2 linked regions of the Yarrowia lipolytica genome follow. The protein of the gene in region 1 binds, or shares a complex with, the protein of each later gene. Links are inferred from orthologs where the notes say so. Each region holds a gene or a part of one and is shown in the gene's direction. Other genes may lie near its edges.

Region 1 (5,693 bases):
TGGATAAATGCATTTCAATCTTCTTTATTATTATTATGTATTATTGTTGTTATTGTCAGATATGTGTTCGCATCAAACACCTACTTGCTACAGTGTGTATTCCACGGTGCCCCTCCAGAACTCCAGTATGTAGTGATGTGCACTTGGAGATGTTTGAAACTAGCGAGTTGACTTCAGAAACGACTTTCCTGACTCCCCATAAGAACTCCCTATAAGTAAAAGTGGTTATTGACTACGAGTACGGCACTCATAATTGTAAATATTGTAGTCGCTTGTCTAAAACTCCTAAATGACGTCATGGCCCACCACTGAACCCTCAACGGCCCATCAATCATCTAATCACACACTACAAATGTAGTACTTCCAGTCGGCCTCTTCAGCTCTCCGACGCTGATCGGCGAATTCCGGTCCGTGTTTCACCGTTAGCCGTGTCACGGAAGAGATCTGAATACCGCCAACCATCGAAATTCTTGCACCCGCTCTTGCAGTAAATACGTGCAGATATGTACTCAACCTGTCTACTTGTACCGAAGATTCTGCATCTGCACCTACTTGTCTGGTTTACTAGTTGGCCCCCCAATGGCCCACACACACATCCAATCTCCCACCTTCCTCATTCATTCAATCATACCCCCCCATTTTCATCCCGTGGGTGCCCCACAACCCAATCCTACCGTGTCTAACGTAAACGTGTATTGACCATGGTGGGGTTACATACGGACGTGAGACAGGCAATGGAGTGGTGATGTGGTTCATGCTGAGTAAGAAATGGGATTTACGCGGTCCAAATTGCTCTGCGCTATTTGTAGAACAAACATATTGCTCTCAAACCCCTCACATAATGTCTACACCCGCCAAAACCTGTACAGACTCCTTTCTTCCTCACTCCACATGATCAAGTCACGCCGTTTCAATCTCACTTATGGTTATGCACAAGCGAGCTAAATATAGACGCATAACTAAATGTGAGTGTGAGTATATACTGTTTGTACAGTATGTACACGACACAGCCAGGAACATAGCCCACGCTGCGATAATTGGGACGTACAGTCATGATTATGAGACTTGAAATTACCGCGCGGCATACTGGAGGCGGAAATAATCGACTTTTCATCACCACAAAATATCCCCATTCACTCTCAATACACCCGTCTCTAATAACCGATGGTACATTCGTAACCTACGAACCAACGACAGTGTAACCTAAGATATACCGCAGAGACAAGTCCGAGATAAGAGGACGCTTGGCAGCAAACTACGCCACAGGCAGTCGGGGAGACGCCAAAGCGCGCCATGTCGTCTGTCCTTCGCCCACACCGCCTCTCCAGAGAGTCAGCCAAGCCCCGAGCCCCTTGTTTTGCACATCCACCAACAAGCTCTAATTAAACTACCGACCTAGTAGCGCGCTAGGGATGCAAGCAAAAAATCTAGCTCCGGAGGTCTAGCCCGAGGCTGGCAGTTTATAATGTTGGGGTGGTGTCTCTGGCGCTGCAATTGATTCCACTCGACGAAAAATGGGAATCAAAGGCTACTTTAGCACTATGAGAGAGCGGTTCACGCCGCTGACGTTGGACCAGATCGGCAAAGGTGTTGTCTTCGTGGACGGGCACATCATGGCCCACCAAATCGCCAACATGGTTGATCCAGGCAGCCGTTACGACATGCGTGGCGTGGCCATGAAGTTGGAGGAGCTCTTCAACTGTTGGATCGGCCAACACAAATGGGATATTCAGCTCGTGCTGTTTGACGGCCTGGTGCCCACAGACAAAATGGACGGCAGACGCAAACGGGCCATGGAGTCCCTCCCCACGGCTCTGCATGCCCAGAGTCTCGCTCTGACCGTTCTTTGTGGAGCTCTGTGTCTCGATACGATCCAGTCCAAGTTCCCAAATGTCCCGTGCTTGGTGTCTCCAGGCGAGGCAGACCGGGATCTGGCCTGTCTGGTCTTCAACTACGCCAAACTGAACTCCAACAAGGCCGTTCACATCATCTCCAACGACTCAGGTTTCTGCGCGTTCGACTTTCCGGAAAACGTGCACGTTGTCAACACCCTGGTAGGAGGGTTGGAGAACTCGGTTCTGTATGCCCTACCAGTCTCACGAACAGTCGCCAACTGGATCGGAGTCAAACCTACCCTACTGGCATACTCTGTCATGAAACACAGTGGAAAGGGACCTTCACAAGCGAAAAAGTACGAGGAGGAAGAGGGGTACCTAGAGTTTTCACAACAGCAACAACAGCTGCTAGCCAAGGCCAGTTACTCATCTGTAGGCGAATATCTCGCCGAACCTGTCACTCGAAGAGCATACCAGATCTTTGGCCAACAGCACGACGAGTTGTTAATGCATACAGCTGCGAACGCATGGATCGAGTATGGATACGGATACGTGCTGCTACCCGTCATGTGTGAGCCCAAGGAGTTTGAGTATGCCTTTGACGCTGGACGAAGGTGGCGATCTGTGGCGTACGAGATCTGTGCCCAGAGACTGATGCAGGTGTTCCCCGAAAAGGACTTTGTGACATCTCATGTGCGTGAGTTTGTGCGGATTGGAGAAACGTTAGGAGAGATGGACGTGCCTATTACCGACCACGAGAGAGCAAGATACAACAAGACCGGTTCACATTACCAGCTGTTCCAAAAGGAGGAGCTTTTGCGAGCGGTCAAGACGTGGAAGACTTCGGATCTGATCAACGCCATTTGGATAGAAATCATGGCCACGTCTCCCAACGTCCGAAACACCAAACTTGAATTTGACGCCCATCACATGAGGGATAGGGTGGTCAAGTACTTGAAGGAAGCATGGAACGACGAGGGAGTGTTTGCTCTGCGAAGGTACTCACGAAAGGAGCGTAAGTTGATGGCCCGCAAGTCGTGCGCAATGGAAGCAACGGATCGTCGGTTCTACAACAAGCTGTTGGCCTGTTTCCAGAGCTTGCGAATGCTTCAAGCTGTGGGAGTCACGTTCCCAGTCGATGTTCATTTGTTTGATCTTGATGGAACTCGATGGATGTCTATGACCAAGTCGAAGTGACAAAACAACCGAGCCAAGTATTTATATATGTGACAATAGATGATTACAATTTTAACTTGTTGTACAAGTATCTCTGAGTAGCCGAAGTATTAGTAGATTTTTATATATGCATATATTGTAATCGAACCAACAACCACACAGCCAAACGCACTTGCCCTCACCTCCTCAAACCCTAACCGCAGTGAAAAATACTGCATGGCTCTGGGCCGACTGGGATCAAGAAAGCTTTCAAACACCCGAAACACATACACACAAAATGCGACTTTCCGGGGTGTCTCGATTCGGCGCAACGGTCGCCAAGTTACAGCGACCTACCATCACTCTGCCCACCAAGCAGGCCTCCGGCATCGACGCCAACAAGTACAAGGGCGGGCTGCCTCTGCATCGACCCTTGAACCAGGAAGAGCGAGTTGCCAAGCTGGAGCAGGGCATCGAGTCTGGCGACGCCCATTTCGCGCTGGGTAAGCGGGAGGTGTGGTTCCCTAAGGAGCAGGTTATTCTTGTGCGACCCAATGCCAAGCTGACCCCCTACCAGGCGTCCTTTCTCACTCCTCTGCACATGAACAAGATGGAACTGCGAGACTACCTGTACAACGTCTACGGTCTGCGAGCGCTCAACGTGCGGTCCGTGGTTTTCCCCGCCGCATTTGAGCGAGAAAACCCCACCCGACCCCGATACCGAAAGCGAATGATCAAGAAGATGACTATTGAGATGGAGGAGCCCTTTGTGTGGCCCGAGGACACTGACGGCTTTCTGGCCAAGATGGAGGAGTCGGCAAGAGAGACCAAGAAGCTCATGGACGAGGTCACCGGCCTTGATTCCCTTGGGTCCAGTCGAGATCGACCCTCTACTGCCTTTGGGGGAATTATGGGCCCCTACAAGAAGGCCGGATCACCTTTCGTGGCCCAGAAGGTGGCATCCAAGCTTGGCGGCTCCAAGCGACGAGAGGCCGAGGCCGAGGCTCAGCAGGAGAAGATGCGAAACATCGCCTTCTACCTGGCCAAGAACAAGCAGGCTGGCATTCCCCAGCCTAAGACAAACTAGTCTCTGTATATAGAAAGGATATGTTATGATAGCAAACACTGTAGAGAGTGAGAATGAGTATGGGAATGCAGAGAATGAATATGCTCAACATGTTATCTATTACGAGCATACTATTACCATCACGTCTATAAGGAAACATTAGATGAGTGTACACTGGGTTGTTACAGTACAACTACAGCAAAGTGTTGAACATGAGTTCATATCACAAGTACAGCAGCTAGAAGTACGTATCTTACGAAGTAATACTTGACCTGATAGATTGAGCATGTACAATCGTCGATGCTCACTTGGATGATCTGCTTAACCATAAAGGCGAAATGCGGTGTTACTGTAAACACCCAATCGTCTACAAAGGTCTCCCCCATTCATGTCCATACCTCCAATAATATTATATATACAGCTAACGCGTTCCTTTTCCTTCGCATCGCCACTGTGCGCCACAGTTTTCCTTATAAGAAACCCCGGAAAGAGTTGATCTTCTTGGATTCGCTCTTTCTAGCAGCATTCTGCCATCCTCCCCGCCCTCGAGCTCGTGGCCGAGAAGAGTCCTCATCCTGAGATGTAGAGTGCGAATGCGAAGGAGGCTGGGGCTGGGGGATGTTAGTAGCAGATGTTGCGTGGCTGCCGTGGCCTCCAAAGTTCATGCCCAAGTGCTCAACTGCAGGAGAAGGTGTCTTCGAGTTGCCTCCAATGGGCACTCCTCGGTAGTAAGCCGAGTCCGAGCCGGCTAAAGACGCTGACGACTGCTTGGTGGTTCTGTGGGAGTTCCCAGAAGACTCTCCAATGGACTCCACGTCGTAACCAAGCAGACTCTTTTGGTTAGTGTTGTTGAACAGCTCACCAGCGCCAGGAGACAGGTTCTCGGCCTCTGAAGACGCGGCGTATGTTCGGAATCGTTCGTCCAGATCTTGGTACCGCTGAGACAGCTCTTGATGACTAACTGACAGCTGATGGTACCGATTTTCAGCCTCCTGTTTGATAGTCTCAAGCATCTCGAGCACCTTGTGTGAGGGCTGAGTCTGCTTTTCAATGTTTGTCATCTGCTCTTCAAGTTCTGCGATCTCGCCTCGCAACCGTTTCTCCATTGTTTCCTTCTCGTGTTTCAGGACTCCTAAGTCAATCTTAGTTTTCTCCAGCTCAATGTGAAGATCTGAGTTGGACGATTGTGTCTCGGAGCCCCGTATGTTGTCAGATGAAGATTCGGCGGAGGCCTCGAGGCTTTTCAGCTTGTCTCTATACTCGTTAATCAATCGATTCTCATTTTCCAGAGATTCGACCTTGAGCTCCAGCTGTGTGACAGCAGCCTCCTTGGCCATAGCTGCAGCATACAGTCTCTGGTTCTCAGCCTGCATGTGCTCAAACTCGAGGTTGGTTTTGGCAGTTTCCTCAGTCAGCGCGTCACACTGAAGACGCAGTTCTCGGTTACGTTTTGTCAGCGTACCTTCGTGCTGTACCTTTTGTGTTCTTAGCGTGTTTCCGAGCTCTTTCATCTTCACCAACTGCGAGTTGAGCTGCTCAGACTGACGCTTGAGCTTTTGATTGGATGTGACGAGGTTCTGAACGTCAATATCTTGTCTAAGAGCACTGTGAAGCTGTTCCTTGAGTTGGCGGATGCG
Region 2 (5,456 bases), on another chromosome or scaffold:
CTACTTATGTACTGTACAGAAATCATTCACTCACACAGCACCGACACTCAGCACAGCAACACGACTCGTTCACCTCAGTCCACCGGCTGTCACATTCTCCTACCGCTGTCACATTCTCCTACAAGTAGTCGTTCGCTACCGCCGCCACCGTGCATCACTCTCCCTCTGCCATTAATTAACTGCTACAATACTGAAATTAGCACCGTCACGATACAGTCCCATAAAGCACTCGGGACCAGCCCAAATCCAAATTCGGAGGCCATACAAGAGTCGCAAACGGACCGAAAAGAGGCCGAAAAGGGCATTTGAAGACTCCAACCGCCTTTATCGTCGTCAATAGTGTCCCAAACCGCTTGTCCCCCCCAAACTCGACCTCATTCACCGACTTTTCAGGCTCATTTACCGACTCAGTCTCATTTACCCCTGCCCCTCCCTACAGTGTGTACATGCATAATCATGTTCACCTCCAGAGTTTCCGAAGCAAGCACCACCAACTTTATCCGGCCGACGGCACGGTCTCACATCCACTTTTTTTTCGCCTTCATCGCCGCAACCGTCCACCAACTGCTGCTCATGCTCTACCAACTGCTTGGAGACGGCTACCTCAAGTCGTTTGTCGACACAGGTATCACGCTGGCCCAACAGTCGGGGCTTTCGGGTATCGTCAACGCCTTGACTTCAGAGGCCAAACTGCGGATCGATAAACGGTCCATCATCAAAAAGCTGCTAGAGGACCAGGAAAACGCCGAGTCGTACTTTGACTGGCTCAAGGCGTCCAGCGAACTCGACTATCTGCTCGGCAACCAGGAATGGAAGGAAAGAGACGAGTGTCCAGCTTACGATTACGAATACGTCCGACTCCGATTGGACGAACTGAGACACGCCCGAACCAATAACGACACCACCCGACTGCTTTACCTCGTGCGAACAACGTGGAGTAGAAACCTCGGCAACCTCGGAGACGTCAAGCTCTACCACAACTCCTTTACCGGAACCAAACGACTCATCGAAGACTACATTCTGGAATGCGAACTGGCTCTCAACGCGCTCCTGGCAGCCGGAAACGACAAGATCCCGGACCAGGAGCTGCTCACGGAGCTGCTCAACACCAGAAAGGCATTTGGACGAACTGCCCTTCTGCTGTCCGGCGGAGGATGTCTCGGTCTGCTCCACACCGGTGTTCTCCAGGCCCTCTCAGACACATCGCTCTTGCCCCACGTCATATCGGGTTCGTCGGCAGGCTCAATCATGGCCGCGGGACTGTGCATTCACAAAGACGAAGAACACGAGGCTTTCATCACCGAGCTCATGGAGCGAGACTTTGACATTTTCGAAGAGTCCGGAAACGAAGACACGGTGCTCGAACGAGTGTCTCGAATGCTCAAACATGGATCGCTACTCGACAACAGATATATGCAGGACACTATGCGAGAATTATTTGGCGACATGACCTTTCTGGAGGCCTACAACCGGACTCGCCGTATTCTCAACGTTACGGTATCGTCTGCTGGCATCTACGAAATGCCTCGTTTGCTCAACTACCTGACGGCCCCCAACGTACTCATTTGGTCGGCTGTCTGCGCCTCCTGCTCGGTGCCTCTCATTTTCAATGCCTACACTCTGCTTGAAAAGGAGCCCAAAACAGGAGCTATTCAGACCTGGAACGCTTCTTCGCTGCGGTTCATTGACGGATCCGTCTATGCCGACGTGCCCATTGCGCGTCTCTCAGAAATGTTCAATGTAAATCATTTCATTGTCTCGCAGGTAAACCCTCACGTTGCTCCTTTCCTCAAGCTCACAGAAGACAAGGCCAACCCGGACTCGGTCGACGAAATCTACACGCTCAAGCTTTGGCACAACTTCAAGACGCTGGTCACCGACGAGGTCATGCACCAGTTGCAGGTGCTGTACGAGTTTGGCATCTTCAAGAACCTGTGTTCGAAAATGGGAGGCGTACTGTCCCAGCGATACAAGGGAGACATCACAATCCTGCCCCAGGTCCATCTCTCAGAGCTCCCGGGAATTCTTACTAACCCCACTGCCGCATACATGAAGGACACCAACCGACGAGGTGCCCAGGCCACTTATCGAAAGATCTCGCTCATTCGAAACCACTGTGCCATTGAGTTGGCGCTGGATCGAGCTATCCACGAACTCAAGGCCCGTATGCTCCCCTCCAAGCTTGGATCAGGACGTACATCCCCGCAAGGTACTTTTAAGCATTCGCAGTCGTCCAACCAGATTTCTGCGCTCAAACCTCCTTCTCGTCACATGTCTGCTTCATCGGCAACCACAGCACATACGCGTCTTCGGAACCGAAAGTCGTTTTCTCATGCACGTATCAAGAGTGATGCGGCCGCTGTGTTCGACAAGGAGCCTATTCACGAGACGCCCAAGTCGTCGCCTCAGAGCTCGTATGTCAACTTGCACCGATCTGCAAGTGAGCGGTCGAGACGACCCAAGTCTGCATTCAATCTGGGCTCTCTGCCGACCTCTCCTCTTTATCATCCGCATCTGACCCACTCCATGTCTATGGGGGGAGCCAATCAGGCGCCTCTGTACAATCCTGGGCGCGGTTCTGTGTCTCAGAACACCTCCCCTGGGACCAAAATCCCCGGAAACGCTGATCCGTCGTACTTTGATGGACCCAACAATGTGCGTTTCCACTGGGACAGCGACGACGACGATGTGCGAGAGACGGAGTTCCTCAACAACATGTCTTCGTCGTCTTCACGAAGAGTTTCTCCTGTCCAGAGTCGTCGAGCCAGTGTTGATGGACTGCGAAACTCTGTCGTATCCACCGCCACCAGTGTCACCGACGGTTCCGTGTCCAGCAGACCGTCCCGAGCGTGGGAGAGCATTTCCCAGCTGTTTGAAGGGGACGAGAACTGTTCTGACTCGTGCTAACCTGTGGCATGGCTAACGTTGATATACAATAGACAGTATCGGTATCGATATGACAATACATTTTGGGTAGATGAGCGATCGAAGATAGAACCAGCAACTACTAATACGCCTACGGTTAAGGCTTTCATGAGCATTTGCAGCTTATGATTGTTGTTACAGTATTTTTTCTTTCTTTCTTCTGTTTCTTGTTTCTTCTCAACTAGAGTTCACTAAAGTTGCTTTTGTTAGTTGGAATTAGTTGGGGATAATATACAGTCTTATTTGATCGACTTTACCTGAGATTTGGGCGGCAAATAACTTGATGAACCCTTCCAAATGGTCTATTGAGGGATTCTATTTTCCTAATATTCTCTTATTGCATCATTACTTATTGGTAGGCTGTTTCTGGTCAATTACATAGTGCATATAAAGTTCAAGTTAGCACCTGCGGGAATCGAACCGCAGCGTGAAAAAACTACACCTCTTGATCCATCGCCAATCATCCAGATCATCTCACACACAAAAATGCTGCGAACCCGTGCCTTTTCCACGTCGGCGCGAGTGCTGAGCTACATTGGAAAGCAGCCCATTCTCGTTCCCGAGTCGGTGACGCTGCAGATCTCGCCCACTGAGGTGGTGGTTGAGGGTCCTCTGGGACGAGTCCAGATGTCCAAGCCGACTTTTGTCAACATTGCATCGTCCCAGGACACCATGAGCTCCGGCTCTGTGCTGTCTGTGTCGGTTAACGACGCCACCAACAAGACGCAGCGAGCCATGTGGGGCACCATGCGAGGCCTCATCAACAACCATGTGACTGGTGTGACTGATGGCCATGTCGCTCTTCTGACCTTGGTGGGAACTGGATACCGAGCTGGAGTCGAGAAGGACGCCCACACCGGCGCTCCCATTGTCTCCGTTCGATGCGGTTTCTCCCACCCCATCAACTTTGTCATTCCTGCTGGCATCGAGGTGACTACACCCATCCCCACTCGAATTCTCATCAAGGGCGCTGACAAACAGCAGGTCAAGCTGTTTGGAGCTTCCATTCGACTCAAGCGACCCCCGGAGCCTTACAAGGGCAAGGGAATCTACCTCGACGACGAGACCATCACCCGAAAGGCCACCAAGGTGAAATAAATGTAAATAGATTGGTTATGAAAAGATTTGACACGACACCAGTAGCATGTGGCTTCTGTTGAGGTTAGCATGAATCGCGCAACCAACAAACCTGTAGAAACAGAACCTGTACTTGTACAGTAGCGCACGCCGCTTTGGCTATACCCTCGCATGACATATCTCGAACGATACCCCGACAAGAGGCGATGACAAGGATACCAACTCGTCTGAATGAGTATCTGAGTCTGACAGTCCGATAAGATACCGAAGCAGTTCTCGTACTACAGGCTAATGTATATATCATATCCAACAAACGGCTCGCTCTAGAGACTCTCATTATTGATATTATCCCAAAATGGATCCATAGGCCGCTACATTCACGTCTACAACTCAAGCAGGCTAGTCATTCTATGTACATAAGCTGAATGTCGACAGTAGCGTCGCATTCTAGGATTCGTCAACATGACAAGGTCTAGTTAACAAGATGTTCCTCCTCATCAATGATGAGGGGATCAATGAGTGAGTCGGCCAGGTTGACGACTCGTCCGTCTGGGAAGGTCAGAGACCACTCGAGCACTCGGAACTTTTCTCGGCCGGAGGCTCGTCGCGAGTTGAAATGCATGATGGCCTCGGCCTTGTTTCCCTTGACGGGGAAGGAGAAGTCCACCTTTCCAACAAGAGGACGAATGGTTCCCGACACCCAGGTGTAGGCACTGGCGAATCGGATACCCGAGCCCAGCTCCTCGTTGGCCAGGGGCGACTTTCGGAGCGTGTACATGCAAGATGAGACCTGCGAAGACGACATCTTCTCGTAGTTGAAGGAGAAGGCCAGAGACACGGTCATGATGACCACAAACAGACCAAATCCGGCCCATCGGCGCATCTTGTGGCTGGTAATGTTAGGCAGCTCCGTGTCCACGGTGACAGGTGCATTGGGCACCTTTTCGGGCGTGAACGGCTCAAAGGTGTGGCCCTCGTAACGTCGCAGGTTTCGGTCTTCGGGCAGCAGCTTTTCGTCGTCCTTCTTGGCGTCGGTCGACTGCTGGTGGAGCCACAGACGGCTGGTTGTGGACAGGGGTCGGGCGACCGAGAGAGGTCGCAGCAACGAAGGCAGAGCTCGTTGGGGACGCAGTAGTCGAAGCATTGTGTGAGTGTGTGCGAGGTGTGTGGTGGACTGCTCTGATATTGTAAGACGTACGGTATATTTGCTTTTATAGTTTGTATGGGTGTGGGTAGAAGGAGCTCTCCAAAGACCACCAGTAGCAGGTGTTTGGGAGCAAGTTGCACCGGAAAGAACTAACAGAGAGATTTGCACTGTAGATGTGGGTTGGTTTATGGGCAATTGGGGGGAAAAAGACCCCTATCGATGGTCATACTGTCCGCTTAAGATTACTTTCACCTCAGATTAACTTACTTAACAAACAGACTCAGCGTTACTTGAGAAATAGCTACAA

The links. The genes of interacting proteins can lie anywhere in the genome.
Region 2: YALI1_E15274g (region 1) and YALI1_F13579g share a complex: the UniProt entries of both Saccharomyces cerevisiae proteins name them as parts of the mitochondrial large ribosomal subunit. The link is inferred for Yarrowia lipolytica from reciprocal best matches to the Saccharomyces cerevisiae genes MRP20 and MRPL6.

What each region holds. Positions count from the first base shown.
Region 1 is NC_090774.1:1,524,097-1,529,789, forward strand, and holds YALI1_E15274g (mitochondrial 54S ribosomal protein uL23m), read left to right. Parts: upstream 1-3,288; coding exon 3,289-4,077; downstream 4,078-5,693. Other genes in the region: YALI1_E15256g (uncharacterized protein), read left to right, coding at 1,515-3,032; YALI1_E15318g (uncharacterized protein), read right to left, coding at 4,527-5,693. UniProt on the Saccharomyces cerevisiae protein: Component of the mitochondrial ribosome (mitoribosome), a dedicated translation machinery responsible for the synthesis of mitochondrial genome-encoded proteins, including at least some of the essential transmembrane subunits of the mitochondrial respiratory chain.
Region 2 is NC_090775.1:1,354,564-1,360,019, forward strand, and holds YALI1_F13579g (mitochondrial 54S ribosomal protein uL6m), read left to right. Parts: upstream 1-3,411; coding exon 3,412-4,023; downstream 4,024-5,456. Other genes in the region: YALI1_F13550g (uncharacterized protein), read left to right, coding at 457-2,907; YALI1_F13597g (uncharacterized protein), read right to left, coding at 4,475-5,146. UniProt on the Saccharomyces cerevisiae protein: Component of the mitochondrial ribosome (mitoribosome), a dedicated translation machinery responsible for the synthesis of mitochondrial genome-encoded proteins, including at least some of the essential transmembrane subunits of the mitochondrial respiratory chain.